Linked DNA regions of Anolis sagrei. The protein of the gene in region 1 interacts with the protein of each later gene in a biochemical or structural test. Links are inferred from orthologs where the notes say so. Each region holds a gene or a part of one and is shown in the gene's direction. Other genes may lie near its edges.

The links.
Region 2: the proteins of PEX19 (region 1) and PEX13 form a complex in vitro, tested with the Homo sapiens proteins (2 studies listed by BioGRID and IntAct, with this or other methods). The link is inferred for Anolis sagrei from reciprocal best matches to the Homo sapiens genes PEX19 and PEX13.
Region 3: the proteins of PEX19 (region 1) and ABCD1 form a complex in vitro, tested with the Homo sapiens proteins (3 studies listed by BioGRID and IntAct, with this or other methods). The link is inferred for Anolis sagrei from reciprocal best matches to the Homo sapiens genes PEX19 and ABCD1.
Region 4: the proteins of PEX19 (region 1) and ABCD2 form a complex in vitro, tested with the Homo sapiens proteins (3 studies listed by BioGRID and IntAct, with this or other methods). The link is inferred for Anolis sagrei from reciprocal best matches to the Homo sapiens genes PEX19 and ABCD2.

The regions. Positions count from the first base shown.
Region 1 is NC_090032.1:7,362,064-7,369,683, forward strand, and holds the start of PEX19 (peroxisomal biogenesis factor 19), read left to right. Parts: upstream 1-4,259; 5' UTR 4,260-4,387; coding exon 4,388-4,430; intron 4,431-5,729; coding exon 5,730-5,845; intron 5,846-7,301; coding exon 7,302-7,467; intron 7,468-7,620. UniProt on the Homo sapiens protein: Necessary for early peroxisomal biogenesis. Acts both as a cytosolic chaperone and as an import receptor for peroxisomal membrane proteins (PMPs).
Region 2 is NC_090021.1:12,577,591-12,585,418, reverse strand, and holds the start of PEX13 (peroxisome biogenesis factor 13), read left to right. Parts: upstream 1-4,390; 5' UTR 4,391-4,438; coding exon 4,439-4,491; intron 4,492-7,828. Other genes in the region: tRNA pseudouridine synthase Pus10, read right to left, coding at 410-535. UniProt on the Homo sapiens protein: Component of the PEX13-PEX14 docking complex, a translocon channel that specifically mediates the import of peroxisomal cargo proteins bound to PEX5 receptor.
Region 3 is NC_090022.1:177,914,889-177,923,420, forward strand, and holds the start of ABCD1 (ATP-binding cassette sub-family D member 1), read left to right. Parts: upstream 1-4,964; 5' UTR 4,965-5,178; coding exon 5,179-6,114; intron 6,115-8,532. UniProt on the Homo sapiens protein: ATP-dependent transporter of the ATP-binding cassette (ABC) family involved in the transport of very long chain fatty acid (VLCFA)-CoA from the cytosol to the peroxisome lumen.
Region 4 is NC_090025.1:81,653,619-81,661,457, reverse strand, and holds the start of ABCD2 (ATP-binding cassette sub-family D member 2), read left to right. Parts: upstream 1-4,448; 5' UTR 4,449-4,730; coding exon 4,731-5,723; intron 5,724-7,839.

The DNA.
Region 1 (7,620 bases):
AATAATAATAATAATAGTGGTGGTGGTAATGGATTTTCCTTACATGGAGATTTTCAAGCAGAGGCTGGATGGCCATCTGTCGGGAGGGCTTTGATGGTATAGCAGAATAGGGTTGGACTGGATGCCCTTTGGGGTCCCTTCCATCTCTAGGATTCAATAATATTAATAGTGGTGGTAATGGAGTCTCTTTACATGGAGATGTTCAAGCAGAGGCTGGATGGCCATCTGTCGGGAGGGCTTTGGTGGTGTTTTGCTGCCAGGCAGAAGGGGTTGGACTGGATGGCCTTTAGGGGAGACTCTTCCTATGAGATGGCAATTAGGACTCACTCGGACTGAGAAGGAAGGGCTCTCTCTGCAGACACTCCTGGGTTTATCCCCTCGCAGGCGCCATCCACTTGGGTATGGCGCCGCCGCCTTGGCAACCGGGGACTCGCCAAGCAAGGGGCGGGGCTTCCAGGCTGCAATTGGGCGGATCGGCCACTTGGGGGCGGCAAAGGACAGTCAATGGGAGACTCCCTGCACTCTCTCGCTTCCTTCCATTAAGGAATGAATGGACTGCCATCATCATCATCATTGTTATTGTTATTGTTGTTTGATACACAACAAGATTAGTACACAGCAAGTAAGATCACTCTGCTGGCTTTTGTATTGGACTAGATGATGTATGGGCGAATAATGCGCTCTTTAAACTGGATTGTATGACTCCACATTTCCAGATAATCTGGGATAAACAGAAATAATATAATATATTATTATAATGTATTGTATTATATTGCTCTATTATATTATGAGTTTACAATATAGACACTGTTGTTGTTCATTCGTTCAGTCGTCTCCGACTCTTCGTGACCTCATGGACCAGCCCACGCCAGAGCTCCCTGTCGGCCGTTACCACCCCCAGCTCCCTCAAGGTCAGTCCAGTCACTTCAAGGATGCCATCCATCCATCTTGCCCTTGGTTGGCCCCTCTTCCTTTTGCCTTCCACTTTCCCCAGCATCATTGTCTTCTCTAGGCTTTCCCGTCTCCTCATGATGTGGCCAAAGTACTTCAACTTTGTCTCTAGTATCTTTCCCTCCAGTGAGCAGTCGGGCTTTATTTCCTGGAGGATGGACTGGTTGGATCTTCTCGCAGTCCAAGGCACTCTCAGCACTTTCCTCCAGCACCACAGCTCAAAAGCATCGATATTCCTTCGCTCAGCCTTCCCGAAGGTCCAGCTCTCACATCCGTAGGTTACTACAGGGAATACCATGGCTTTGACTAGGCAGATCTTTGTTGCCAGTCTGATGTCTCTACTCTTCACTATTTTATCGAGACTGGACATTGCTCTCCTCCCAAGAAGTAAGCGTCTTCTGATTTCCTGGCCACAGTCTGCATCTGCAGTAATCTTTGCACCTAGAAATATAAAGTCTGTCACGGCCTCCACGGTTTCTCCCTCTATTTTCCAGTTGTCAATCATTCTTGTTGCCATAATCTTGGTTTTTTTTACGTTTAGCTGCAACCCGGCTTTTGCGCTTTCTTCTTTCACCTTGATTAGAAGGCTCCTCAGCTCCTCCTCGCTTTCGGCCATCAGAGTGGTGTCATCTGCATATCTGAGGTTGTTAATGTTTCTTCCAGCAATTTTCACCCCAGCTTTGCATTCATCCAGCCCCGCACATCCTCTCATGATGTGTTCTGCATACAAGCTAAAAAGGTTGGGTGAGAGGATGCAGCCTTGCCGGACGCCTTTCCCAATCTTGAACCAGTCTGTTGTTCCGTGGTCAGTTCTGACTGTGGCTCCTTGGTCCTTGTACAGATTCCTCAGGAGAGAGGGAAGGGGGCTTGGGATGCCCATCCCACCCAGAACTTGCCACAATTTATTATGATCCACACAGTCAAAGGCTTTAGAATAGTCAATGAAGCACATTATATTATATATTTATTATTTTATATATAATACAGTTCCATTATTTATTGTTATTTTATATATTCTTTATTATTATTTTATATATTAAATAAATAATATATTAGTATTTTGTTTGATATTACCTACACTATTACATTTATTTATTTATTTATTTATTTATTTAGAAATTTTCTATACCGGCCTTCTCACCTCGACGAAGGACTCAGGTCGGTTTACAGCATATATAAAATACAATCATATAAAGAACAACAAGTGCAAAATCATTACATATTAAAATAGTAAAGACAGTAATCAGTACAGTATATTATATAATATACTGTACTGATTACACTATAATATATATAATAGAGTAATTGTTGTTGTTCATTCGTTCAGTCATTTCCGACTCTTCGTGACCTCATGGGCCAGCCCACGCCAGAGCTCCCTGTCGGCCGCCCCCACCCCCAGCTCCTTCAAGGTCAGTCCAGTCACTTCAAGGATGCCATCCATCCATCTTGCCCTTGGTCGGCCCCTCTTCCTTTTGCCTTCCACTGTCCCCAGCATCATTGTCTTCTCTAGGCTTTCCCGTCTCCTCATGATGTGGCCAAAGTACTTCAACTTTGTCGCTATTAATTATTATATAATATACAATAATATATATTAAATTATTATATTACTCTATTATATTATGAGTCTACAGTATAGACTCTACATTATATTATATATTTATTATTTTATATATAATAGAGTAATACAATATATTATTTATATTATATTTTATATTACTCTATATGAGTCTACAGCATTATCTAAACTATTATATATTGATTACATTAATATAATATAATACAATATAATACAATAATAATATATACTGTATTATATATAATAGAGTAATATAACATAATATATATAATGTAATTCTTTATTTAATATATATTATTAGACACATATAATATAATAGGGTGATATATCCTATATATATCCTCTTCGCTGAGCCTGGAACCCCAGGTCTCGGCGGTGGTCAGGGGAGCTTTTGCACAACTAAAACTTGTGCGCCAGCAGTGCCCGTACCTTGGGAAGGCTGACTTGGCCACAGTAGTCCACGCTTTGGTTACATCCCGTTTAGACTACTGCAACGCTCTCTACGTGGGGTTGCCTCTGAAGACTGCCCGGAAGCTGCAGCAAGTCCAGCGCTTGGCAGCCAGACTACTAACGGGTGTTGGGTACAGGGAGCACACCACTCCGCTGTTACACCAGCTCCACTGGCTGCCAATTCGCTTCCGAGCACAATTCAAAGTGCTGGTGTTAACCTATAAAGCCCTAAATGACTCCGGCCCGGTTTACCTCTCCGAACGTATTCTCCCCTATGAACCATCAAGATTACTAAGATCGTCTGGAGGGGCCCTGCTCTCGGTCCCACCAGCCTCACAGGCGCAGCTGGTGGGGATGAGGGACAGGGCCTTCTCGGTGGTGGCCCCGCGGCTCTGGAAATCTCTCCCGCCAGAGGTTAGAACCGCCCCAACAATCCTGACATTCAGGAAACAGGTGAAGTCGTGGTTATGGAGACAGGCTTTTGAAGAATGAGACAATGATCTGGATGGAAGACGGTCTATATTCAATTTTAGTACGACGACTGACCACGGTAGTTTTAAATATATGTGCCTTTTAATGTTTTATTGTAATGTGTATTTTGATATTTTACCGATTGTATGTGTTTTTATGGTTGGAAACCGGGCTGAGTCCCTCTTATGAGGTGAGAAGCTCGGTATATAAAACTTTGAAATAAATAATAAATAAATATATTATAATATATTATATAATATATATTATATTATATTGCTGTATTATTTGAGTCTACAGTAATAATATAAAATCATATATTTTATATATTATATTATGATCTTGTATATAATATAATGTAATCAATATATATAATCATGCAGTGTCTATACTATAGACTCACATACTATAATAGAGTAATATAAAATAATATGCAATAATAATATATAATATAAACTAATATATTATATATATAATAGTTTATAATATATTATAAACTATATAATATATTATATATATTATTTTATATATTATAATATATTAGTTTATATATATTATAAACTAATATATTATTATATATAAAATAATAGATATATGTAATAGAGTCTAAATTGCAGACTCCTATAATGTAATAGAGTAATATAATATAATATAATATAATAATATCCAAATTATGTCACAAGATTTCCAAAGTGCAAGGCTTGTCAATGGTTGACAAGGCTTGTCAGTGAGGGGCAAGATGGCGGCGACTCGAGAACTACGACTCCCAGAATGCCTCAGCGGTCGCGTCCAAGGCACGCCGCCGCCCTGGGCTGCTGGGAGTCGTAGTCCAGAGGCGCTTCCTTGGGCCTAGGCGAGCCCGGTGGCCTTCGGAGGCTTCTGCCGACCGAGTGAGTGGCCTTGCTTCCTCCTTTCCTTCCTCTGTTTCCCGGCTTCCCGGAAATGGCGACGTCGACGGACCCAGAGCTGGAGGAGTTGCTTGAAAGTAAGTAAGGCGGGAATGCCCCAGTTGGGGCTTTGGAGGGGAGTTTGGAACAGGAGCCTTAGGAGACCAGACTCCCAGGCGGAGAGTTCCACTGCTGAACAGCTCTTCTTACAGTCAGGAAGTTCTTCCTAATCATAGAGTTGGAAGAGACCACCGAGGCTATCTAGTCCAACCCCCTGCCAGGCAGGAAAAGGACAATCAAAGCCCTCCTGACAGATGGCCATCCAGCCTCTGTTTAAAGGCCTCCAACGAAGGAGCTTATACCAGACTCTGAGGCAGAGAGTTCCGCTGTTAAACAGTTCTCCTTACAGTCAAGAAGGTCTTCCTAATCATAGAATAATAGATTTGAAGAGAGCACCTAGGCCATCTAGTTCCCCTGACAGATGGCCATCCAACCTCTGTTTGAAAGCTTCCACCAGACTTCGAAGCAGAGAATTCCACTGCTGAACAGCTCTTCTTACAGTCTGGAGGTTCTTACTAATCATAGAGTTAGAAGAGACCACCGAGGCCATCTAGTCCAGCCCCTTGACATGCAGGAAAAGCTCAATAACACCCTACCCCCCTGACAGATGGCCAGCCTCTGTTTAAAAGCTTACGCCACACTCCAAGGCAGGGAGTTCCACTGCTGAACAGTCAGGAAGTTCTTCCCAGAATCATAGAGTTGGAATAGGTCACCTAGGCCATCTAGTCCAGCCCCCTGCCTGGCAGGAAAAGCACAATCAAAACCCTCCTGACAGATGGCCATCCAGCCTCCTTTTAAAGGCCTACAATGAAGGAGCGTATACCAGACTCTGAGGCAGAGAGTTCCACTGTTAAACAGTTCATCTTACAGTCAAGAAGGTCTTCCTAATCATAGAATAATAGAGTTGGAAGAGACCCCATGGACCGTCTAGTTCAATCCTCTGCCATACAGGAAAAGCACAATCAAAGCCCTCCTGACAGATGGTCACCCAGCCTCTGTTTGAAGTCCTCCAACGAAGGAGCTTATACCAGACTCTGAGGCAGAGTTCCACTGTTAAACAGCTCTTCTTAGAGTCAGGGAATTATTCCTAATCATAGAATAATAGAGTTGGAAGAGAACTCATGGGGCATCTAGTCCAATCCCCTGCCATACAGAAAAAGCACAATCAAAGCCCTCCTGACAGATGGCCATCCAGTGTCTGTTTAAAGGCCTCCAAGGAAGGAGCTTCCACCAGACTCAGAGGCAGAGAGTTCCACTATTAAACAGCTCTTACAGACAGGAAGTTCTTGGAGAACAATATTCAGTATGCACTTTTTTTCCGCTCCTCCCCGATGCAGGTGCCCTTGATGACTTTGATAAGACCAAGCCCACTGCTGTGCCTCCCTCCTCCGCTGCCACCGTTGGGGACAACAGCAGCAGCAGCGCTGAGAAATCACCGGGAGATGCTGCAAAAGTATGGAAAGTTAGATAAACTTTCAGTGCTGAGTTGGGGGGACATTGTGGTAGCAAAGAGAGCTTGGGAAAGTGTTTTCTTCTGGAATGAATCCCTCATTCAGCAAGAGAGTAGAATTCAGGAAAATGTAATTGGGATCTCTGATGGGAGGGTCATGAGGGGGTGTCACAGGGGTTGCCAAAGACCATCAGAAAACATATATTTATTTTATTTTTATTTTCATTTTATTTATTCAAGTAAGGGGGGTCACAAGGGGGTTTCAGAGGGGTCGCCAAAGACGGTCAAAAAACATATATTTTTGATGGTCATAGGAACCCCTTTGGCAGAGAAGGTTGAAGATCTCCCCGCCTGTCCTTCTCTTCCTTTGGCAAATCCACCAAAAGCCCTCCTCCACTGCAATTGGCTGACCTCTCACTCGAGGGCTGTTTCTGAGGCTCCAAGCAGGAAGGGGAGAGCAGACATGCTCATCGCATGGCAGCGTAGTGCGGATGTACAGGCGAGGGAGAGCGTACGAGGCTGGAGCAAGGTTCTCTCCAGCAAGTCCCTTCAAGGCATGGGGGTTCTGTGTGGGAAGTTTGGCCAAATTCTATCGTTAGTAGGGTTCAAAATGCTCTTTGATTGTAGGCGAACTATAAATCCCAGCAATGACAACTCCCAAATGTCAAGGTCTAATTTTCCCAAACTCCACCAGTGTTCACATTTGGTCATGCCAAGTTTGGGCCAGATCCATCATTGTTTGAGTCCAAAGTGCTCTCTGGACGAAGGTGAACAACAAATCCAAAACTCAAGGCCAATGTCCACCAAACTATTCCAGTATTTCCTATTGGTCATGGGAGTTCTGTATTCCAGGATTGGTTCAATTCCATCACTTGTGGAATTCAGAATGCTCTTGGATTGTAGGTGAACTATAAATCCCAGCAACTACAACTCCCAAATATCAAGGTTTATTTTCCTCATACCCCAGCAGTGTTCACATTTGGGCATATTGAATATTCATGCCAAGTTCGGTCCAGATCCATCATTGTTTGAGTCCACAGTGCTCTCTGGAAGTAGGTGAACTACAACTCCAAAACTCAATGTCAGTGCCCACCAAACCCTTCCAATATTTTGTGATAGTTCTGTGTGCCAAGTTTGGCTCAATTCATCGCTGGTGGAGTTCAGAATGCTCTTTGATTGTAGGTGAGCAATAAACCCAGCGACTACAACTCCCAAATGTCAACGTCTAATTTTTCCCATCACATTTGGACATATTGAATATTTGTGCCAAGTTTGGTCCAGACGATTCCTAACAGGAGCAAAACTACAGTTATGAAATAGCAGTGCAAATAATGTTATGGTTGGGGGTCATCACAACATGCGGACCTGTATTAAGGGGTCGCAGCATTAGAAAGGTTGAGAAACACTGTAATAGAATCATTTAACTGAGCTGGCTTCTTCCTCCTTCTTCTCTTCTCAGGATTCCCTCTTTGCCTCCCAGGAGAAGTTCTTCCAGGACCTCTTTGACAGTGAGCTTGCTTCTCAGGCCACCGCCGAATTTGAGAAGGCCATGAAGGAGTTGGCTGAGGAGGAGCCCCACTTGGTCGAACAGTTCCAGAAGCTCTCGGAGGCAGCGGGCCGAGTCGGTGAGTCGCTGACCGAGGGTGGGAAGCCTATGTTTTGAAATTTTTGGTTGCTGATGCAAAGCTTTGTTTGTGAGAGGCCAATCTCTGCCATTCAGGGAGCATTCCTGACCTATCCTTGGTTTCATAAAACATCTCTCTGTATGGAATTGGAAT
Region 2 (7,828 bases), on another chromosome or scaffold:
TGGGGCTACAAAGTGGAATCCACGACATGCGAGTGAGGAGAAGAGCAAACCACTGACCACCTGCTGCAATGCACCCTGAGCCCTGCCACATGCACAATGGAGGACCTTCTTGCGGCAACACCAGAAGCACTCCAAGTGGCCAGATACTGGTCAAAGGACATTTAATCAACTACCAAGTTTGCAAAATTTGTGCTTTCTTCTCTGTTTGTTTGTTTTGTTCTGTTAGAAATGTAATACAAAGGTATGGTTGCTGATGACACGATAAATAAATAAAATAAATAGCTTCTGAACAATCTTCAAAGGCAGACCCACGTAAAGCGCGTTGCAGTAGTCTATTTGGAATGTAACCAAACCATGGATTACCACGGCCAAGTCCGACTTCCCAAGGTATGGGCACAACTGGCTCTACCTGATGTGGAGGCCTGTACGGGGCCTGCAGTCCGACCCGGCAGAACCTAAGAACACAGCGTGCGCACGCCCCGAAATCCAGCAGCTTCTGAGCCACAGGCCTGTCCTTTTCTGTCAATGCAATCATCACGGTCAAAGTCTGTTCGAAAAGGGGAAAAATGCTTTTTAGTTTCATTGCCAAAGCTTGAAGGAAATGAATCTGTGGATCACATGAGTCAGAAGAGATACACATACACAATGCCACCCAGTCCAACAAAATTATTCTGCCAGGCAGGAAGACACCACCAAAGCCCTCCCAACAGATGGCCTCCCAGAGGAGGAGACTCCAGCATACTTTGAGGCAGCAGCCTATTCCACTGCTGAACTGCTCCTGATGTTTAGCTGGAATATCTTTCCCTTCAATTTGGATGCCTTACTTCAAAGTAAATGAAGGGATCAGTCTCCAGCTCATCCACCTGCTTCACTTACAAAAAATGACTATGGGGGACCTTTTGAGCTAATGCACACCAGGTCCGTCCTGAGAACATTCCCTTCCGCCCTCACTTCCGGTAAGAAGGGGCAACAAGACCCTGCTTCCTAGAAGCAACACTTCAGGCTAACAGAAACCAAGGGATGCGGTCACTATGAGCTTCAACCCACATTTCCGGTTCCCATTTGCAGCACACAAGCCAGGACCAGCTGGTCCTTTTTATTCTGAGAAAAAAAATAATGTCTTCTCTCCTTACATAATGAAAGCTTTATATGCAAGTCCCCAATTATTATTATTATTGACACAAAATATTATTACAAAACCCACAAGTACAAAAACCCACAAGAACCTAATATTATTATTATTATTGGACAATTTCAACAGAAAGGAAGAAACCATGAAAATGAACAAAATCTGGCTACCAGTATTAAAAAACTCAAAAATTACAACAGCAAAACAATAGAGAGTAAACAATCAGGCACATCAAATCACCTCTCAAAGAAAGATTCCCCCAGGCACTTCCAAGCCATTAAATGCTAATCAAGGTGGTCAGTTGAAACATTCACACCTAGCTCCAGCAGACAAGAGTCCTTTGTCCCACCCTGGTCTTTCCACAGATAAATAAACCCATTTTCCTACTTCCAACAGACCTCACTACCTCTGAGGATGCTTGCCATAGATGCAGGCGAAATGTCAGGAGAAAATGCCTCTAGAACATGGCCATATAGCCCGGAAAACCTACAACAACCCATTATTATTATTATTATTATTATTATTATTATTATTTTACTGAAACAAGCACAGTACGTCACAGCAAACGAGATATATATGCTGGATTTCGTATCACAAAATCACAAGTCGAATTATTATTATTATTATTATTATTATTATTATTATTATTATTTGAAACACGACAAGATGAGTCCACAGCAAACAGGATCACCATGCTGGCTTTTGTATTGGATCACACATTGGACACTTCCCAAATGTTTAGGACTGTGTGATGTATCGGTGAATAATGCATGCAGATCCCAGGCCTTCTGCAGCTGGCAGATGGTAATTTTGTCAGTGCTGATTGTGTTTAAGTGCAGGCCAAGGTCTTTAGGCACTGCACCCAGTGTGCCAATCACCACTGGGACCACCTTTACTAGTTTGTGCCAGAGTCTTTGCAGTTCGATCTTTAAATCCTCATATCGTGTCAGCTTTCCCTGCTGTCGCCTGGGATTGCAACATCGACAATCCATACTTGGATTTTTAACACGGGCATGAGGTCAGGAGTAATGTGTTTCAAAACTCTGTCAATCTGAATTTGGAAGTCCCAGAGTAGTTTGATGTGTTCATTTTCTGTAACTTTTTCAGGCCTGTGGTCCCACCAGTTCTTTGTCACAGGCAGATGGTCTTTGTGGCACAAGTTCAAGTGGATCATCTGAGCAATGGTGTTATGCCTCTGCTTGTAGTCCATCTGCATGATCTTGCAGCAGCTGAGGATAGAATCATAGAATCAAAGAGTTGGAAGAGACCTCATGGGCCATCCAGTCCAACCCCTTGCCAAGAAACAGGAATATTGCATTCAAATCACCCCTGACAAATGGCCATCCAGCCTCTGCTTAAAAACTTCCAAAGAAGGAGCCTCCACCACACTCCGGGGCAGAGAGTTCCACTGCTGAACGGCTCTCACAGTCAGGAAGTTCTTCCTAATGTTCAGATGGAATCTCCTCTCTTGTAGTTTGAAGCCATTGTTCCGCGTCCTAGTCTCCAAGGAAGCAGAAAACAAGCTTGCTCCCTCCTCCCTGTGGCTTCCTCTCACATATTTACACATGGCTATCATATCTCTTCTCAGCCTTCTCTTCCTCAGGCTAAACATGTCCAGCTCCTTAAGCCGCTCCTCATAGGGCTTGTTCTCCAGACCCTTGATCATTTTAGTCGCCCTCCTCTGGACACATTCCAGCTTGTCAATATCTCTCTTGAATTGTGGTGCCCAGAATTGGACACAATATTCCAGATGTGGTCTAACCAAAGCAGAATAGAGGGGTAGCATTACTTCCTTAGATCTAGACACTATGCTCCTATTGATGCAGGCCAAAATCCCATTGGCTTTTTTTGCCGCCACATCACATTGTTGGCTCATGTTTAACTTGTTGTCCACAAGGACTCCAAGATCTTTTTCACACGTTCTGCCCTCGAGCCAGGCGTCACCCATTCTGTATCTTTGCATTTCATTTTTTCTGCCAAAGTGGAGTATCTTGCATTTGTCACTGTTGAACTTCATTTTGTTAGTTTTGGCCCATATCTCTAATCTGTCAAGATCGTTTTGAATTCTGCTCCTGTCCTCTGGACTATTGGCTCTCCCTCCCAATTTGGTGTCGTCTGCAAACTTGATGATCATGCCTTCTAGCCCTTCATCTAAGTCATTAATAAAGATGTTGAACAGGACCGGGCCCAGGACGGAACCCTGCGGCACTCCGCTCGTCACTTCTTTCCAAGATGAAGAGGAAGCATTAGTGAGCACTCTCTGTGTTCGTCCACTTAACCAATTACAGATCCACCTCACCGTAGTTTTGCCTAGCCCACATTGGACTAGTTTCCTTGCCAGAAGGTCATGGGGGACCTTGTCGAAGGCCTTACTGAAATCCAGGTACGCTACATCCACGGCATTCCCCGCATCTACCCAGCTTGTAGTTCTATCGAAGAAAGAGATCAGATTAGTCTGGCATGACTTGTTTTTGATAAATCCATGTTGACTATTAGCGATGACTGCATTTGTTTCTAAGTGTTTGCAGACCGCTTCCTTAACAATCTTTTCCAGAATCTTGCCCGGTATCGACGTGAGGCTGACCGGACGGTAGTTGTTTGGGTCATCCTTTTTTCCCTTCTTGAAGATTGGGACCACATTGGCCCTCCTCCAATCTGCTGGAACTTCTCCCGTTCTCCAAGAACTCTCAGATGGACTACAATGGCTTCAAACGATAAGAGAGGAGATTCCATCTGAACATGAGGAAGAACTTCCTGACTGTGAGAGCCGTTCAGCAGTGGAACTCTCTGCCCCGGAGTGTGGTGGAGGCTCCTTCTTTGGAAGCTTTTAAACAGAGGCTGGATGGCCATCTGTCAGGGGTGATTTGAATGTAATATTCCTGCTTCTTGGCAGAATGGGGTTGGACTGGATGGCCCAGGAGGTCTCTTCCAACTCTTTGATTCTATGATTCTATGAAGTAATAGTTTCATGAGGCACTATCCCTATGGGCAGAGAACACCCTTGCAAAACTACAGCTCCCAGGAGTTGTATGGAGCCGGGGCACTTCAAATGAACGTCATTCATTCATTCTGCAGTGTAGAGTGCAATTGGGAACCGGAAGCCATGTGTGATTATGTATTTGGAGTTTTGTTTATCTCTTTGGTCCAAGGCAGACCTGAGCAGCTGCAGACAGAGGCGTCCGATCGACAGACGTGCAAGACGAGCCAGCGCTGGTTTAAAAGGGGTGGGCGGGGCGATGGATCGATCTCTCGACGCTCTGCTCGGCAGGCAGGCGGCGTTGCTCTGCGGCTGCGCGGAGAAGAAGCAAGATGGCGGGCAGCCCTCCTCCTCCGCTGAAGCCCTGGGAGAACCCGCGCAGAATGTAGGTAGAATGGGATATGGCCTATAAACGCATATATCTCATATAATATTGTGTGTAAATAGAATTATATTTACATATAATACATTAATATTATATATAACACATATCTAATATTATCTGTAAATATAATTATGTATATAATATATAAATATAATATATATATTATATGTCATATAAAATACATATATCTATTATATTTACATATAATGTATTAATATTATATATAACACATATATCTAATATATGTAAATAGAATTATGTATATAATATGTAAATATAATATATATAACATATTCTTATGTCATATAAAATACATATATCTAATATAATATATATATAATCACAGTTTTATATAGACATATATATAATTTTGTGAATTATGTATATAATATATAAATATAATATGTATAACATATATTCTATATCATATAAAATACATATATCTAATATAATATATGTAATCAGTTTTATATATACATATAATATATAATTTTGTGTATCATATATGTGTGTGTTTATATATATATACTGTTTACTATAATGTGAATTTCTCTATAATTCTCTATATAATTATAATATAATATATATGTCTTATAAATAATGTTATACATCTCGTCACGATAAGCTTAATCCTAATTACATATAATGTATTTATTACACATGTATGCAATATAAACACATATATCTAATACAATTATATTTACAGATAATATATTAATATTATATATAACACATATATCTAATAATATATGTAAATATAATTATGTATATAATATATAAATATATATATAACATATTCTATGTCATATAAAACACATGTATCTAATATAATATCTGTAAATAGAATTATATTTATATATAATAAATATTATATATAACAGATATATCTAATATTATCTGTAAATAGAATTATGTATATAATATATAAATATAATATAGATAACATATATTCTGTGTCACATAAAATACATATATCTAATATATGTAATCACAATTTTATATATACATATAATATATAATTTTGTGTATCATAGATTGTGTATTTATGTATATATATGCTGTTTACTATAATGTGAATTTCTCTATATGTCTTATAATATATATAATGCTATAGATCTCATCATGGTAAGATTAGTCCTAACTATATATAATATAATGTAAGTATTACACATGTATGCAATATAAAACACATATATCTAATATAATATTGTATATACTGTAAAACATCGATCAATATAGAATCATAGAGTTGGAAGAGACCTCATGGGCCATCCAGTCCAACCCCCATTCTGCCAAGAAGCAGGAATATTGCATTCAAATCACCCCTGACAGATGGCCATCCAGCCTCTGTTTAAAAGCTTCCAAGGAAGGAGCCTCCACCACACTCCGGGGCAGAGAGTTACACTGCTGAACAGCTCAGTCCTTTTATATATATAATAAGATTTCCCCTGACATTGAGTCTAGTCGTGTCCAACTCTGGGGTGTGGTGCTCATCTCCATTTCTAAGCCAAAGAGCCAGCGTTGTCCGTAGACATCTCCTAGGTCATGTGGCCGGCATGACTGCATGGAGCGGCATTACCTTCCCACCGAAGCAGTACTTATTGATCTATTCACATTTACATGTTTTCAAACTGCTAGGTTGACAGAAGCAGAGGCTAATAGCAGGAGCTCACCCCACTCCCTGGATTCAAACAGTCAACTTTTCGGTCAGGAAGTTCAATGGCTCAGCAGTTTAACCCGCCGCACCGCCGGGGGCTCATATATATATATATATATAATCATGATAATCTTATATGTAATGTAAAACATATATATCTAAAATAATATATATATATAATATAACACATAAATAGAATAAACATAATATATGTCATATCTAAATATGACATATATGTAATATTCCATATATATTTATAATACTATACACATAATCATGCTAATCATGAGATCTCGTGAGCCATCTAGTCCAACCCCTTGCCAAGAAGCAGGAAAACTGCATTCAAAGCATTTTGTTTTTATAGTATTACATAAACATTATATACTTAATACTATACATATAATAATGATAATCTTAGTCCTACTTACATATATGTATATTATACATATATTATATCTAATATAAAATACATATAATATACAATATATAACATGTAATATAACACATAAATATATAAGCATAATATATATAATACTATTTATACAATAATGGTAGAAGTGCCCAGTCGTGCAATGAGTTAAACTCCTTGTGCTGGCAGGACTGCCGACCAACAGGCTGGCGATTCGAATCCGGGGAACGGGATGAGTTCTCGTCTCAGCTCTAGTTCCCCATGCGGGGACATGAGAGAAGGCTCCCATAGGATGGTCAAAACATCAAAACATCTGCGTATCCCCTGGGCAGCATTCTTGCAGACAGCCAATTGTCTCACACCAGAAGCAACTTGCAGTTTCTCAAGTCAGTCCTGACATGTGTGTGTGTGTGTGTGTATACAAAATCATAATAATCATAATAGCATTACATATATATTCTATGTAATATAAACACATATATCTAATATATGTAATATCTTCCGGCAAACCTACCCAGCCAATCTTTAAGCATGAATTTTAAATGTGTGTCCTTTGTTTAATCCCTGTTTTGTGTATTTTAACATGTATTTTATAGAAATACATTTTAATATGTGTATTTGTAGTATTTTTACAATATTTATGTGTTTTAATTATTCTGTAACCTGCCTCGAGCCACAAGCACAGACAGGTAAGAATTATAATTAAAATGCATTCCCAGACAACACTGATATATATTCTAGTGCGATGTATTTGTAATAATCTCCCACAGGTATCAATGGCGGGCACTGTTTCCCCCTATAGTTTTCAACCGTCCACAGCGCCATAAATTCGTGTTACTCCTGTTGTCTCAAATTTTGCACCAGGGGATACATCCTTGCCCTCCGGTTGTACTAGTTTTCCTCAGAGAAAGCAAGATGTTGCTTGCCTTCATTGGCTAATCCTCCTGCTCCCTCTTTCCCCATCCAAGTAGGTGTGGTGGGCAGGAGCTCCAGGGTGGTAAACATGTTGCTCCCTCTTTATGTTCTCCAGATAATTAAAATTGCATAACCTACTTGCATACACAGCACAGCCTTGGCATCGGTTTGCGCAGGAGGAGGAGGAATTCAGTAGGACTTAAATGTCTCCATAGTTCTCAAAACATCTGAATGTAAAAGTCCTTTGTGGTAGCCAGGCTCAGTTGCAGGAAACACAAGAAGCACTTGACCCTTCCTGTACATTTTTTGCTATTTGATATTGATACCCAATTTAATCAGGATTATTCAAAGATGGA
Region 3 (8,532 bases), on another chromosome or scaffold:
AAGAACATTCTGAACCCCACCAACGATGGAATTGAACCAAACTTGGCACACAGTTCTCCCATGACCAACAGAAAATACTGGAAGGGTTTTGTGGGCAGTGTCCTTTGGTTTTGGAGTTGTAGTTCACCTACATCCAGAGATCACTGTGGACCCAAACAATGATGGATCTGGACCAAACTCTACAAGAATACTCAATATGCCCAAATGTGAACACTGATGGAGTTTGGGGAAAATAGGATCTTCACATTTGGGAGTTGTAGTTCCTGGGTTTTATAGCTCACCTACAATCAAAGAACATTCTGAACCCCACCAACGATGGAATTGAACCAAACTTGGCACACAGTTCTCCCATGACCAACAGAAAATACTGGAAGGGTTTGGTGGGCAGTGTCCTTTGGTTTTGGAGTTGTAGTTCACCTACATCCAGAGAGCACTGTGGACTCAAACAATGATGGTTCTGGACCAAACTCTACAATAATACTCAATATGCCCAAATGTGAACACTGGTGGAGTTTGGGGAAAATTGAATCTTCACATTTGGGAGTTGTAGTTCCTGGGGTTTATAGCTCACCTACAATCACAGAGCATTCTGAACTCCACCAACGATAGGAATTGGGCCAAACCTTCCACACAGAACCCCCATGTGGGCCACAGCAACGCGTGGCAGGGGACGGCTAGTAGAATCATAGAATTGGAAGAGACCACAAAGATCATCCAGTCCAACCCACTGCTTTGCAGAAATACACAGCCAAAGCCAACGGAGAGCTTTTCAGGAAGGAGAAGGAGATTCCACCACCCTCTAAGGCAGTATATTTCACTACCAAACGACTCTTGTCATCAGGAACTTCTTCCTAAATTTCAGCTGGAATTTCCTTTCCTGCAATCTGAATCCATTGCTCTACTGTGTCCTAGTCTTCAAAACAGCATAAGAGATTGTGACATCTTTTATGTAACAAGACTCATAGACCCCATCTTGATCCTGACCTTTGCTTATGTAAGCGTGCAGTGTAGTGATAAGTTTCCTCACATCCAAGTATAACTGTGTTCTCAGATATACCCATGGAGTCCGGGAGTGCCCTTTGCCTCACAGATAAAGAATGTTAGGGCATTGCATTGGAAAAATGCAGGCTGAAATTTCTTCTGGCTTACCACAGAGGAACAATATGTCTCTTTCACCTTCACTCCAAATTAACTAATACAAAGATGGTTGAAATATATTAACCCCCTCGATATTTTTTGTGATCATCAACCCCTCCGTATTTTAGATGCGGATGAGTTGTCCCTCCTAAAATCCCCCAGAAACATCAATCCATATTTTCAGTAGGTGGAAGGGTTCCAGTGACACATTCTCCTTTTGTGTAAAACTGGAAATCATAGAGTTAAAAGAGATCTCATGGGCCATCCAATCGAACCCCATTCTGCCATGCAGGAATAGCACAATCAAAGCACTCCCGTCAGATGACCATCCAGGCTCTGTTTAAAAGCTTCCAAGAAAGGAGCTTCCATCACACTCCAAGGCAGAGAGTTCCACTGCTGAACAGCTCTTACAGTCAGGAAAGTTCAGGTGGAATCTCCTTTCTTGTAATTTGAACCAATTGCTCAGAGTCCTAGTCTCTCAGGCAGCAGAAAATAAGCCTGGTCCCTCTTGCTTATTTCCTATTCTTTCCAGGACCTTTTCTTTTATTTCTTGCAGTGTTTGAGATCTCCAGATGAGCAAGAAACTGTGGCTGACACTTGAAGGAGAGAGTTAGCTTCTGGATGGTGCTGCTGTTTTTGAGAACTGTGTCTGAAGGATGACAACCTTTAGCCTCTTCCGATTGAGAAAGCACCTTTTGGGGCTAAGCCAGACAAGATGCAGGACAGAGTCTAAGTCTAATCTCTGTGGTTCTAGCTGTGACCTTTGCACAACCATTTCTGCTGCTCATGGTCCTTCTTGAACTACCTCTTTTCTTTCTTGCATATGGCCAGTTTCAGCGGAAGGGAGCCACAAAGTCAGGGAAACCACAAAGTTCCCTCCTGTCACATAAAATACATCTCCTATGTATTTTTAGATATTTTTAGATTACAACACCCACATCACAACTGGCTATCCCTGATGCAGAACATAGAATCCAAAGGGCCACAGTTCAGCTCTGCCCGGGATTATGACCTTTGAGTCTGTATAATGCAGCTATCTTCTTAAAGCACCCCATAAACTGCAATAGCTTTCTCTAGAGGAACAGCACAGAGGAACTTTTGGCACCGACCATTTGCAATGTCCAACATTGCATAATGGTTTTCGTGATATATATACACACACACACACACACTAGCCGAACGTATTCTCCCCTATGAACAATCAAGAGTGCTAAGATCGTCTGGAGAGGCCCTGCTCTCGGTCCCGCCTCCTTCGCAGGCATGTTTGGTGGAGACAAGAGACAGGGCCTTTTCTGTGGTGGCCCCTTGGCTATGGAATTCCCTCCAAAATGAAATTATATCTGCCCTCTTCCTTTTGATTATTGTATTGTTTTAAAGTGTTTTTGCACTACAAATAAGATATGTGCAGTGTTCATAGGAATTCATGTTTTTTTTTTTCAAATTATAATTTGGCCCTCCAACCGTTTGAGGGACTGTGACCTGGCCGACTGTTCAAAAAGTTTGAGGACCCCTGATTTAAATCTTGGTTCTTTTTCTTCCACACATACATACATTTCATACATCAGGAACATACATTCGTTGACAACTCTGTTCTTGACCAGCGACCTCATCACACTAGAGAATGAATCCACTTTAATTCCGGTTTCTGCCTCCTGCAGAATTCTGTGGTTTGTAGTTTAGGGGGAGCCTTTAACAGCCTCCCTATACTACAAACCCCAGAATTCTGCAGGAGGCAGAAACCGGAATTAAAGTGTTTGTAGTGTGATGAAGTTATAGATGACAAGGAACACCCAAATATTGCTGACAAGCAAGCCCTTTTCCCACTCCCAACATTTTGATATTAGGAACTAAAACCACTCCTTTCATGTTAAAATTAGAGCTTGGAATGGATGGATAGAATCCTAGAGTTGGAAGAGACCTCATGGACCAAGAAGCAGGAATATTGCATTCAAACCACCCCTGACAGAGGGCCATCCAGCCTCTGTTTAAAAGCTTCCAAAGAAGGAGCCTCTACCACACTCTGGGGCAGAGAGTTCCACTGCTGAACAGCTCTCACAGTCAGGAAGTTCCTCCTCATGTTCAGATGGAATCTCCTTTCTTGTAGTTTGAAGCCATTGTTCCGCATCCTAGTCTCCAGGGCAGCAGAAAACAAGCTTGCTCCCTCCTCCCTGTGACTTCCTCTCACATATTTATACATGGCTATCATATCTCCTCTCAGCCTTCTCTTCTTCAGGCTAAACATGCCCAGCTCTTTAAGCCGCTCCTCATAGGGCTTGTTCTCCAGACCCTTGATCATTTTAGTCGCCCTCCTCTGGACTCATTCCAGCTTGTCAATATCTTTCTTCAATTGTGGTGCCCAGAATTGGACACAATATTCCAGGTGTGGTCTAACCAAAGCGGAATAGAGGGGTGGCATGACTTCCCTAGATCTAGACCAGTGGTTCTCAACCTTCCTAATGCCGTGACCCCTTAATATAGTCCCTCATGTTATGGTGACTCCCAACCATAACATTGTTTTTGTTGCTACTTCATAACAGTCATTTTCCTACTGTTATAAATTATAATATAAATATCAGATATGCAAGATGTATTTTCATTCACTGGACCAAACTGGGCACAAATACCCAATGCACCCACATGTAAATGCTAGTGGGGTTGGGGGAGGATTGATTTTGTAATTTGGGAGTTGTAGTTGCTGGGATTTATAGTTCACCTATAATCAAAGAGCATTCTGAACTCCACCAGCGATGATTTTGAACCTAATTTGCTGCACAGAACTGCCATGACCAACGGAAAACACTGGAAGGGTTTGGTGGGCATTGACCTTGAGTTTGGGAGTTGTAGTTCACCTATATTCAGCGAGCACTGTGGACTCACGCAATGGTGGATCTGGACCAAATTTGGCACATATACTCAATATGCGCAAATGTGAACACTGGTGGAGTCTGGGGAAAATAGACCTTGACTTTTGGAAGTTGTAGTTGCTGGGATTTATAGTTCACCTATAATCAAAGAGCATTCTGAACTCCACCAGCGATTATTTTTAACCTAATTTGCCGCACAGAACTGCCATGACCAATGGAAAACACTGGAAGGGTTTGGTGGGCATTGACCTTGAGTTTGGGAGTTGTAGTTCACCTATATTCAGCGAGCACTGTGGACTCACGCAGTGGTGGATCTGGACCAAACTTGGCACATATACTCAATATGCGCAAATGTGAACACTGGTGGAGTCTGGGGAAAATAGACCTTGACTTTTGGGAATTGTAGTTGCTGGGATTTATAGTTCACTACAATCAAATAACAATCTGAACTCCACCAACGATAGAATTGGCTCAAACCTCCCACATGGAATCCCCATGACCATCAGAAAATATTGTGTTTTCTGATGGTCTTTGGTGACCCCTCCAACACCCCTTCGCGACCCCCTCAGGGGTCCTAACCCCCAGGTTGAGAAACACTGATCTAGACACTATTCTCCTGTTGATGCAGGCCAAAATCCCATTGGATGCACCAGATCAATCCAAACCAACAAAACAGTGGAGATTATCTAGCTTTACTGCAAACTCCTGAGCATACTGACTAGCTGGGACTATGTCCCATTTAATCCTAAGGGATATAACATTAGGGTTGGGCTCAAAAAGATGATCCCAGGCTGGAGCACAGAGAAAAAGCCTCTCTCTGTACAACCTTGGTTTGTGCAGAGATCTCTACGCTGCGCCATCTAGTGGCTGCTTGGAGAAACGACCAGGCCTCTGTTGTTTTTTTTCTCCTTCCTGCTACGTCTTGTCTAGGCGTGGCCTCAGGGTTTGTCTATGATCTAGAGGAGGGTGGCTCTTTCCCTGTCCCCTCCCAGAGTGTCAGTTGGAGGGTGGGTCATTATGGGATGAGAGCGGAGCCTGGCTGAGAAGCCAGTGTTGCCACAGCCAGGCAGAGAGCACTAGGCTGAGCTGGAGGAGGAGGCAGAGGAAGAGGTGGAGGAGGAGGAGGAGGGGAGAGGGGGCCAGCAGCAAGGGGCCTTGGGCCCACCTTGGTGGCAACATGCCCCTAGCCACTGCCAAGGTGGCATCACGGCTGACCCAAGGGGTGACGGCAAAGAGAGCGGCCGTGGCACTGCTGGTGGCCGCATATGGTGCCAAGAAGTTGTATCCCATCCTCAGGAGACAGTGGGCCACCGCTGAGCTCCGGCCAAACTCAAACAGCAGGCCCAGTGCCAATGGGCCACCAACCAAGTGGGAAATGCCGGGTGAGGCAGCTGCGGCATCGCCACCCGGGGTCAACAGGGTCTTCTTCCTGCGCCTTCTGCGTCTCCTGCGCCTGCTGTTTCCAGGGCCACTGTGCCGGCAGACAGGGCTCCTGGCCTTGCACTCGGCCGCTCTCGCCAGCCGTACCTTCCTCTCAGTCTACGTGGCCCAACTAGATGGGCGACTGGCCCGCTGCATCGTCCGCAAGAACCCCAACGACTTTGCCTGGCAGCTCTTGCAGTGGCTGCTCATTGCCCTCCCGGCCACCTTCGTCAACAGCGCCATCCGGTACCTGGAGGGGCAGCTGAGTCTGGCTTTCCGTGGGCGCTTGGTGGACCATGCCTATAAGCTGTACTTCCAAGGCCAGACCTACTACCGGGTCAGCAACATGGACGGGCGCCTGCGCAACCCAGACCAGTCTCTCACCGAAGATCTGGTGGCCTTCGCCAATTCGGTGGCCCACCTCTACTCCAACGTGACCAAGCCGGTCCTCGACCTCATCGTGACGTCCTACACCTTGGTCAGTTCGGCCAGATCCAAGGGGGCCGACACTGTTTGGCCTTCGGTCATTGCCGGGCTGGTGGTGGGCATCACGGCCAAGGTGCTGCGCGCCTGTTCACCAAAGTTTGGGCAACTGGTGGCTGAGGAGGCTCGCCGGAAAGGGGAGCTGCGCTACATGCATTCCCGGGTGGTCGCCAACTCTGAAGAGATTGCCTTCTATGGGGGGCACAAGGTAATGTTGTGGGGAACTTGGCGAGAAAATCCAAGTTACCCTCATAAATGACAGGCTAGTGGTAGACCTAAAGAGGGAATTGAACTATGGAAAATTTCAGAAAAGGTGGTGGGTGTTTCTGTTTTTTCCTGTAGTTGCCGTTTTCCCTTTCCTATAGAAGTGAGCCATGATACAAAGGCAGGCAACTTCTTAAATTCCTGCTCAGGCTGAAAGGAAATTGGCTCTGCAAAAGAGACAACCTGCCGGTGCCGTTGTTTACTTCTCTTCTTTTGTATGCTTTTTCATTGACTTTGACCCAGGCAAGGCTGAGGCCCTGACCTGATTTTATCTCGTTCGGGAAGTGTCCCTATTCAGTCAACTCCAGCTTTGGGATTGGTAGCTTTCCGTTTTCCTCTAGAAACCCTGTTTGGTTTCAGTTGCTCCCGCTTGATTCCTGCTCGAGCAGTCAAAACAGCCCTGAGGCCTTCCACGTTTGGCACCAAGGTGGCACTTAAAATAGTTTTGCATTCCCAGAGAGCAGAGTAGATTGAAGAGTAGCAACTGTGAGTGTATCGGGATGCCTACGTTCTTTCCGTCACTGGTTCTGAAGGACAAAGGAACAAGGTTTTGTTATATCAGAGAGTGTCCTCCTGTTGACAGGCAGATAAAATTTTTACTTTCCTTCCCTCTCTTGCAAATACAGCTGCATCGGGGCACTTTCAAGGCCGGAGGCTCTCCTACGTCGGGCAAGCTGCCAGAATAATAAGCAATTTTAGGTCACGCTCAAGAAGTACATAACACTTCCCTCCCTCCACTTCTCACTTCCTTTCTCTCCCACTCTTTCTCTAATGTTTATTAGTCTTTTGTTCTCTGCTTCATCTTAGAAGCAAGACTGTGGAGGAAATGAAGAAACACTCATACCCAGATCCTTTGTACCAAAAGGCTTGTGTGCAACAGTTGTTCTTCGAAAAAGGGCTAGTTAGACAATGCATCCCATGACCAGCTATTACTCATCAGAGTATTTGTTGTCCAGCAACAGGTTGCATGGTGTTGTTAACCCTGACATTCACAGCACATCCAAATGCGCAGAATTTTTCTAGGCAGGATTTTGGTGCATTCACAATATCCTCCCATACCTAAGAGGCCCAGCTTCGACACAGCTGCATAACGTCCACACTGAACTGGGTTATATGGCAGTGTGGATTTGGAAAACCCAATTCAAAGCAGATATTGTGGATTATTCTCCTTGATATTCTGGGTTATACGACTGTGTGGAAAGGCCCTGAATCGTAGAGTTGGAAGAGACCTCATGGGCCATCCAGTCCAACCCCCTGCCGGAATATTGCATTCAAAGCACTCCTGACAGATGGCCATCCAGCCTCTGTTTAAAAGCTTCCAAAGAAGGAGCCTCCACCACACTCCGGGGCAGAGAGTTCCACTGCTATTTTTATTTATTTATTTATCGTGTCAGGGCAACCAGTCGATTATATTACATTTTTAACATAACAAAGCAAACAAACAGACAAAATACAAAACTTGTTAGTTTCGTAGTTGATGAAATGTCCCTTGACCAGTATCTGGCCACTTGGAGTGCTTCTGGTGTGGCTGCAAGAAGGTCCTCCATTGTGCATGTGGCAGGGCTCAGGTTGCACTGCAGCATGTGGTCAGTGGTTTGCTCCTCTCCACACTCGCATGTTGAGGATTCCACTTTGTAGCCCCATTTCTGAAGGTTGGCTCTGCATCTCGTGGTGCCAGAGCGCAGTCTGTTCAGCGCCTTCCAAGTCACCCAGTCCTCTGTGTGCCCAGGGGGGAGTCTCTCATTTGATAACAGCCATTGGTTGAGGTTCTGGGTTTGAGCCTGCCACTTTTGGACTCTCGCTTGCTGAGGTGTTCCAGCGAGTGTCTCTATAGATATTAGAAAACTATTTCTAGATTTAAGTCGTTGGCATGCTGGCTGATGCCCAAACAAGGGATGAGCTGGAGATGTCTCTGCCTTGGTCCTTTCACTATTGGCTGCTACTTCCCGGCGGATGTCAGGTGGTGCAATACCGGCTAAGCAGTGTAATTTCTCCAGTGGTGTAGGGCGCAGGCACCCCGTGATAATGCGGCATGTCTCATTAAGAGCCACATCCACTGTTTTAGTGTGGTGAGATGTGTTCCACACTGGGCATGCATACTCAGCAGCAGAGTAGCACAGTGCAAGGGCAGATGTCTTCACTGTATCTGGTTGTGATCCCCAGGTTGTGCCAGCTTTCGTATGATAGTTCCACTGCTGAACAGCTCTCACAGTCAGGAAGTTCTTCCTAATGTTCAGATGGAATCGCCTTTCTTGTAGTTTGAAGCCATTGGTCCGCATCCTAGTCTCCAGGGAAGCAAAAAACAAGCTTGCTCCCTCCTCCCTGTGGCTTCCTCTCACATATTTATACATGGCTATCATAT
Region 4 (7,839 bases), on another chromosome or scaffold:
TGTCATTCTAGTCCATGTCCTCCAAAACTCTACATACATCTACTGTCTGAAGGCCTGGTCCCAAAACCATGATTTTAATTTCTTTCTAAAAGCCAGGAGGGAGGGAGCAGATCTTACCTCATTTGGGAGTGTGTTCCATAGGTGAGGGGCCACTGCCGAGAAGGCCCTGTCTCTCATCCCCGTCAGACAAGATGCACTTGTGTGGGCATTCAATTTAGGAGTCCCTCAGGAAACAGATGAGTTTATAGTCTACTGGATGACAGACCTATCTGCTGATGCTTGGTACTGTCCTTCGCCATGCAAATTTACTAAAGCTGGAGGCAATGGAGTTGTGTACTCTGGAATATGCATTTGAGTGTATTGTGTGCCTGTTTGAACCCTGGGCCACTGGTATTGGAGGCACAACAGCAATAAAAAGAATTAAGTTCTCTCCAGAAATCATACTGAAGAACCAAATTAACTTTGAAAAAAACTTAGGAGTGGATTATTATATGGAAGAGATACGAGATCTATTATGTTCTAGTCCTCAAAACACATTCTTAGGAGCATAATCCTTGAAATCTAAATGTATGTCTTCCGTGCTAGTTGAAACATTCACACCTAGCTCAAACAGACAAGAGTTCTTTGTCCCACCCTGGTCATTCCACAGATATATAAACCCTTTTTCCTAGTTCCAACAGACCTCACTACCTCTGAGGATGCTTGCCATAGATGCAAGCGAAACGTCCGGAGAGAATGCCTCTAGAACAGGGGTCCTCAAACTAAGGCCCGGGGGCCAAATGCAGCCCTCCAAGGTCATTTACCCGGCCCTTGCTGAGGATCAACCTAAGTCTGAAACTGTCAGATTTTACTATGTATTGTAATGTAATATAGCTGAGTCATGCACTGCTAATGGGATTCTATTGGAAATGCTGAGTCATGCATTAACTGTATATAGGGAATCATTTGGGGAATGTGTTCTGGCCTAGTCCAGGTGATTGTGAATGATGTAATCCTGGGTCTGAGTTAAGTTAATGAGTTGGGAATCAATCAGAGATTGCTATGTATGTATTGTATAGAATTGTATATAAGGAAGTCATGTACAGTGTATATTTCTCCTTGTGCTGTGATGTTGTTCATCGAAGGAAGGCTATATGTAATTAAAAGAACCTGTCTGCTAAGACAAGATATAACTGTGTGCTCTGGTAAGTTTGTAATGACACCTAGACTGGGGGAAAGACAATGTTAAAACTGACAATGGCTGGGCATGTGCTCAAGTGTCTGTAAAAGCTTCCAGAGTGACTGCAGGCTGTGGGAGTAGTTAACTGAAAATACTGTGCAGGAAGAAGCTACTGGAAAGTGCTGAAGTTGTGCAACTGATCTGCTGCTGAATTGTGAAGTTAATCACAACTTGAAAGTACATAACAACAATCCTATCTCATCAGCCAAAAGCAGGCCCACATTTCCCATTGAAATACTAATAAGTTTATATTTGTTAACATTGTTCCTCATTTTAATTATTGTATAGTTTTAAGTGTTTTTTTTACACTACAAATAAGATATGTGCAGCATGCATAGGAATTCATGTTTTTTCTTCTTCAAATTATAATCCGGCTGCTGAGTACGCATGCCCAGTGTGGAACACATCTCACCACACTAAAACAGTGGATGTGGTTCTTAATGAGACATGCCGCATTATCACAGGGTGTCTGTGCCCTACACCACTGGAGAAATTACACTGCTTGGCCGGTATTGCACCACCTGACATCCACCGGGAAGTAGCAGCCAATAGCGAAAGGACCAAGGCAGAGACATCTCCAGCTCATCCCTTATTTGGGTATCAGCCAGCACGTCAATGACTTAAATCAAGAAATAGTTTTCTTAGATCTACAGAGACACTCGCTGGAACACCTCAGCAAGCGAGAGTCCAAAAGTGGCAAGCCCAAACCCAGCACCTCAATCCGTGGGTGATACCAGATGAGAGACTCCCCCCTGGGTACGCAGAAGACTGGGCGACTTGGAAGGCGCTGAACAGACTGCGCTCTGGCACCACGAGATGCAGAGCCAACCTTCAGAAATGGGGCTACAAAGTGGAATCCACGACATGCGAGTGTGGAGAAGAGCAAACCACTGACCACCTGCTGCAATGCAACCTGAGCCCTGCCACATGCACAATGGAGGACCTTCTTGCGGCAATACCAGAGGCACTCCAAGTGACCAGATACTGGTCAAAGGACATTTAATCAACTACCAAGTTTGCAAAATCTCTGTTTTTTTATCTGTTTGTTTGTTTTGTTCTGTTAAAAATGTAATACAATGGTATGGTTGCTGATGACACAATAAGTAAATAAATCCGGCTCTCCAACAGTTTGAGGGACTGTGACCTGGCCCTCTGTTTAAAAAGTTTGTGGACCCCCTGCTCTAGAACAGTGGTTCTCAACCTTCCTAATGCTGCGACCCCTTAATACAGTCCCTCATGTTGTGTGACCCCCAACCACAACATTACTTTCGTTGCTACTTCATAACAGTCATTTTACTACTGTTATGAATCATAATGTAAATATCTGATACGCAGGATGCATTTTCATTCACTGGACCAAACTGGGCACAAATACCCAATACACCCAAATGTGAATGCTAGTGGGGTTGGGCAAGGATTGATTTTGTAATTTGGGAGTTGTAGTTGCTGGGATTTATAGTTCACTTATAATCAAAGAGCATTCTGAACTCCACCAGCGATGGATTTGAACTTGGCTCCCATGACCAATGGAAAACACTGGAACGGTTTGATGGGCATTGACCTTGAGTTTGGGAGCTGTAGTTCACCTACATCCAGAGAGCACTGTGGACTCATGCAATGGTGGATCTGGACCAAACTTGGCACAAATACTCAATATGCCCAAATGTGAATATTATTATTATTATTATTAATTATTAACTTTATTTGTACCCCGCTAGCATCTCCCGAAGGATACTGGTGGAGTCTGGGGAAAATAGATCTTGGCATTTGGGAGTTGTAGTTGCTGGGATTTATAGTTCATTACAATCAAAGAACATTCTGAACTCCACCACCGATAGAATTAGCTCAAACTTCCCACATGGAATCCCCATGACCTACAGAAAATACTGTGTTTTCTGATGGTCTTTGGCAACCCCTCTGACACCCCCTCATGACCCCTTCAGGGGTCCCGACCCCCAGGTTGAGAAACACTGCATTAGACAATAGCAATAAACATTAGACAATAACACCACGACCCATTTAAAAACTAAAGCCGGGCCAAATGTAATGATTAAAAATTTTAAAATGCTGGACATGACAGGTGAAATAGGTAGGTTTCTGGAGATAGATGCAGTGTGCAGACAATCTTAAATCTCTAGTAAAGTGCATTTGGGACATAATGCTTGGAGTTTCCTATTCTGGGAAGGCACACTGGAACAACCACGTCTTCAAGCTCTTCCTAAAGACTGCCAATGTTGGGGCTTGTCTGATGTCTTTGGGGAGAGAGTTCCAGAGTCCAGGGGCCACCACGGAGAAGGCCCTGTCCCTCGTCCCCACCAGTCACGCTTGTGACGCAGGATGGATCGTGAGCAGGGCCTCTCCAGAAGATCGGAGAGATCGTGTGGGTTCATATACGGAGATGCGGTCACGTAGGTAGGCGGGTCCCAAACCGTTTAGGGCTTTGTAGGTAAGCACCTGCACCTTGAATTGGGACCGGAAAATGAAGGGCAGCCAGTGGGGCTCCTTGAACAGGTATGTGCAGAGCGCATAGGAATTCATGTTTTTTTTTTCCTAATTATAATCCAACCGTCTAACAATAGGTTCTTGTGGGTTTTTTTGGGCTATAGAGCCATGTTCTAGAGGCATTTCTCCTGACGGTTCGCCTACATCTATGGCAAGCATCCTCAGAGGTAGTGAGGTCTGTTGGAATTAGGACAATGGGTTTATATATCTGTGGAATGGCTGGGGTGGGGCAAAGAGCTCTTCCCTGCTGGAGCTAGGTGTGAATGTTTCAACTGATCACCTTCATTAGCATTTGAAGGCCTGCCTGAGCCTGGGAAAATCTCTTGCTGGGAGGTGTTAAGATGTGCCTGGTTGTTTCCTCTCTGTTGTTTTGCTGTTGTAATTTTAGAGTTTTTTAATACTGGTAGCCAGATTTTGTTCACTTTCATGGTCTCTTCCTTTCTGTTGAAATTGTCCACATGCTTGTGGATTTCAATGGCTTCTCTGTGTAGTCTGACATGGTGGTTGTTGGAGTGGTCCAGCATTTCTGTGTTTTAAAATAATATGCTGTGTCCAACCGTCTAACAGTTTGAGGGACTGTGACCTGGCCCTCTGTTTAAAAAGTTTGTGGACCCCCTGCTCTAGCACATGGCCATATAGCCTGAAAAAATCTACAACAACCCAGCAATAGCGAGGTCAGGAGCAGGTGCACGCGCCCACAAGCTGCGCGCGCAGCCCCGGCACGAGCCAGCTGGACTCTAGCAGCAGCAGCAGCATCCATTCCAATCGCGCAGGTTTGCCTTGGAGAAGAGGGTTTAGCAACGGCGGCGTCGCGAGGCGAAGGTTCCCCCAAGGGCCCGACGCAGCCAATGAGCGGGCGGGAGGGGCGGGGCTTGAGAAGATAGAGAGCGAGCGAGGGAGAGAAAGCGGGCGAGCGCGAGGTAGATTATTGTGGCGGCGCGCGGGGCATGGCGCGAGGTGGCGATGGCGGCGGCAGAGCGGGAGCGGGGCTGAGGGAGAAGCGGTGTGGATGAGGGTGAGGGAAGCCACCATGAGCGCGGCGCGGGAGGCCCCCGCCAGGCAGACATGGAGCCGGTCCAGCGCGGCGCTGAGGCGGGCTGCTTGCTTGGCGGCGGCGGCGTACGGGCTGAGGCTGCTTTGGCGCCTCAGGAAGAGGAGAAGAGCGGCGCCGCTTCCTCAGCATCCTCTCCCGGCGCAGGAGGAAGACGCGGGCGGTGCTTTCCTCCTCCCTGAGGCGTCGTCGCTCTTGCTGCGGCCTTCCTCTTCCACCTCGCCGCCGCTCCCTCGCGGCTCCCCGGCGGCCAACGCGGAGTTCTTCCGCCAGCTGCTGGAGCTGCGCCAGATCCTGTTCCCGCAGCTGCTGGGCCGGGAGAGCGGCTGGCTGGGCCTGCACTCGGTGGCCCTGGTCTCGCGCACCTTCCTCTCCATCTACGTGGCCGGCCTGGACGGCAAGATCGTCAAGAGCATCGTGGAGAAGAAGCCCCGCCGCTTCGCCTGGCAGCTGCTCAAGTGGCTGGCCATCGCCGTCCCCGCCACCTTCGTCAACAGCGCCATCCGCTACCTGGAGGGACAGCTGGCCCTGGCCTTCCGCACCCGCCTCGTCGCCCACGCCTACCGCACCTACTTCGCCGACCAGACCTACTACAAGGTCATCAACATGGACGGGAGGCTGGCCAACCCGGACCAGTCCCTCACCGAAGACATCGCTATGTTCTCCCAGTCAGTGGCCCACCTCTACTCCAACCTCACCAAGCCCATCCTGGACGTGGTGCTCACTTCCTACACTCTCATCCAGACTGCCCGCTCCCGAGGGGCCAGCCCCGTGGGGCCCACCCTCCTGGCCGGGCTGGTCGTCTACGCCACCGCCAAGGTCCTCAAGGCCTGCTCGCCCCGCTTCGGGAAGCTGGTCGCCGAGGAGGCCCAGCGCAAGGGCTACCTGCGCTACGTCCACTCCCGCATCATCGCCAACGTGGAAGAGATCGCCTTCTACCGTGGCCACAAGGTAAGGGAGAGGTCAGGACGGGCCCAGAGGTCTTTGTCAGGGTATAGTAATGGTAAAGGTAGTCCCCTGACATTAAGTCCAGTCATGTCTGATTCTGGGGTGTGGTGCTCATCTCCATTTCTAAGCTGAAGAGCCAGCGTTGTCCGTAGACACCTCCAAGGTCATGTGGCCGGCATGACTGCATGGAGCGCTGTTACCTTCCCGCCGGAGCAGTACCTATTGATCTACTCACATTTGCATGTTTTCGAACTGCTAGGTTGGCAGAAGCTAGGGCTGACAGCGGAAACTCACGCTGCTCCCCGGAATCGAACCTGCGACCTTTCGATCAACAAGCTCAGCAGCCCAGTGCTTTAACCCACTGCGCCACTGGGGGCTCCTTTGTCAGGGTATAGGTTTCCCTTATTGTCAGGGTATAGGTTTCCCTTATTTATTTATTTATTTATTTATTTGGGGTGCTTCTACCCCGCCCTTCTCAACCCCCTAGGGGGGACTCAGGGCGGCTTACAAAAGGCACAATTAGATGCCTAACAATTACAACATACAATGCAATATACAATACACAAATTTACCACATAATATCATAGTTATAACTAATTAAAACAATCAGACAGTATACTAGCAGCAATAAAAACATCTTGTGGTCAGTGTTCACCAAATCCAAGTCCGTAAACCATTTAGCATTGTCATTGTCCTTTCCTACTCTGGTCATTCTTGGTTGTCTTTGTCCATCTGCCAGCTTACCTGAAGGCCTGGTCCCACATCCAGGTTTTTAGCTTCTTCCTGAAGGAGAGGAGGGATGTTGATGTCCTAATTTCCCCGGGGAGTGCATTCCACAGGCAAGGGGCCACCACCGAGAAGGCCCTGTCCCTCGTCCCCACCAGTCTCGCTTGTGATAAAGGTGGGGCCGAGAGCAGGGCCCCCTCAGCAGATTTTAAATTCCGAGGTGGGACGTAGAAGGAGATACGTTCGGACAGGTACGCTGGGCCGGAACCGTAAAGGGTTTTGTAGGTCAAAACCAGCACTTTGAATTGTGCTCGGAACTGGATCGGCAGCCAATGGAGCTGACATAACAGGGGGGTGGTATGCTCCCTGTATGACGCTCCAGTGAGTAATCTGGCTGCCGCCCGTTGGACTAATTGAAGTTTCCGAACAGTCTTCAAAGGCAACCCCACGTAGAGCGCATTGCAGTAATCTATTCGGGATGTAACAAGAGCGTAGACCACCGTGGCCAGATCCAGCTTCCCAAGGTACGGGCGCAGCTGGTGCACAAGTTTTAATTGTGTAAAAGCTCTCCTGGACACCACTGAGACATGGGGTTCGAGGCTCAGCGATGAGTCCAGGATCACTCCCAACCTGCGAACCTGCATCTTCAGGGGAAGTGTAACTCCATCTAACACAGGCTTTAACCCTATGCCCTGTTCGGCCTTACGACTGACCAGTAGGACCTCTGTCTTGTCTGGATTCAATTTCAATTTGTTAGCTCTCATCCACCCTTGACATTTATTTATTTATTTATTTAGAACTTTTATAACCCGGTCTTCTCAACCTCCGCAGAGGGACTCAGGCCGGTTCACAACAAAAGATTCATAAACAATAGTTTAACATATCACATCACATAATGCACTAATACATTAAAATACAATCATATAATTACATAAGGCCAGTCATCAGAAATCACAATTCATCACCATCTGTCCATGTGGTCAAGAGTTATTGAATGCTAAATTCCAGAGCCAAGTTTTCACTAGCTTTCTAAAACTTAGCAGAGAAGGGGCAGTTCTAATCTCCAGTGGGAGAGAGTTCCAGAGCCGAGTTCCAGGGCCACCACTGAGAAGGCCCTGTCCCTCGTCCCCACCAGACGTGATTGCGAGGGTCGTGCGACCGAGAGCAGGGCCCCTCCAGAAGATCTTAATAACCTTGATGGTTCATAGGGGAGAATCCGTTCTGACAGGTAAATTGGGCCGGAGCCGTTTAGGGCTTTATAGGTCAACACCAGCACTTTGAATTGTGCTCGGAAACTGATTGACAGCCAGTGGAGCTGACGTAACAGAGGAGTAGTATGCTTCCTGTACCCCGCTCCTGTTAGTAGTCTGGCTGCCGCTCGTGGACTAGTTGT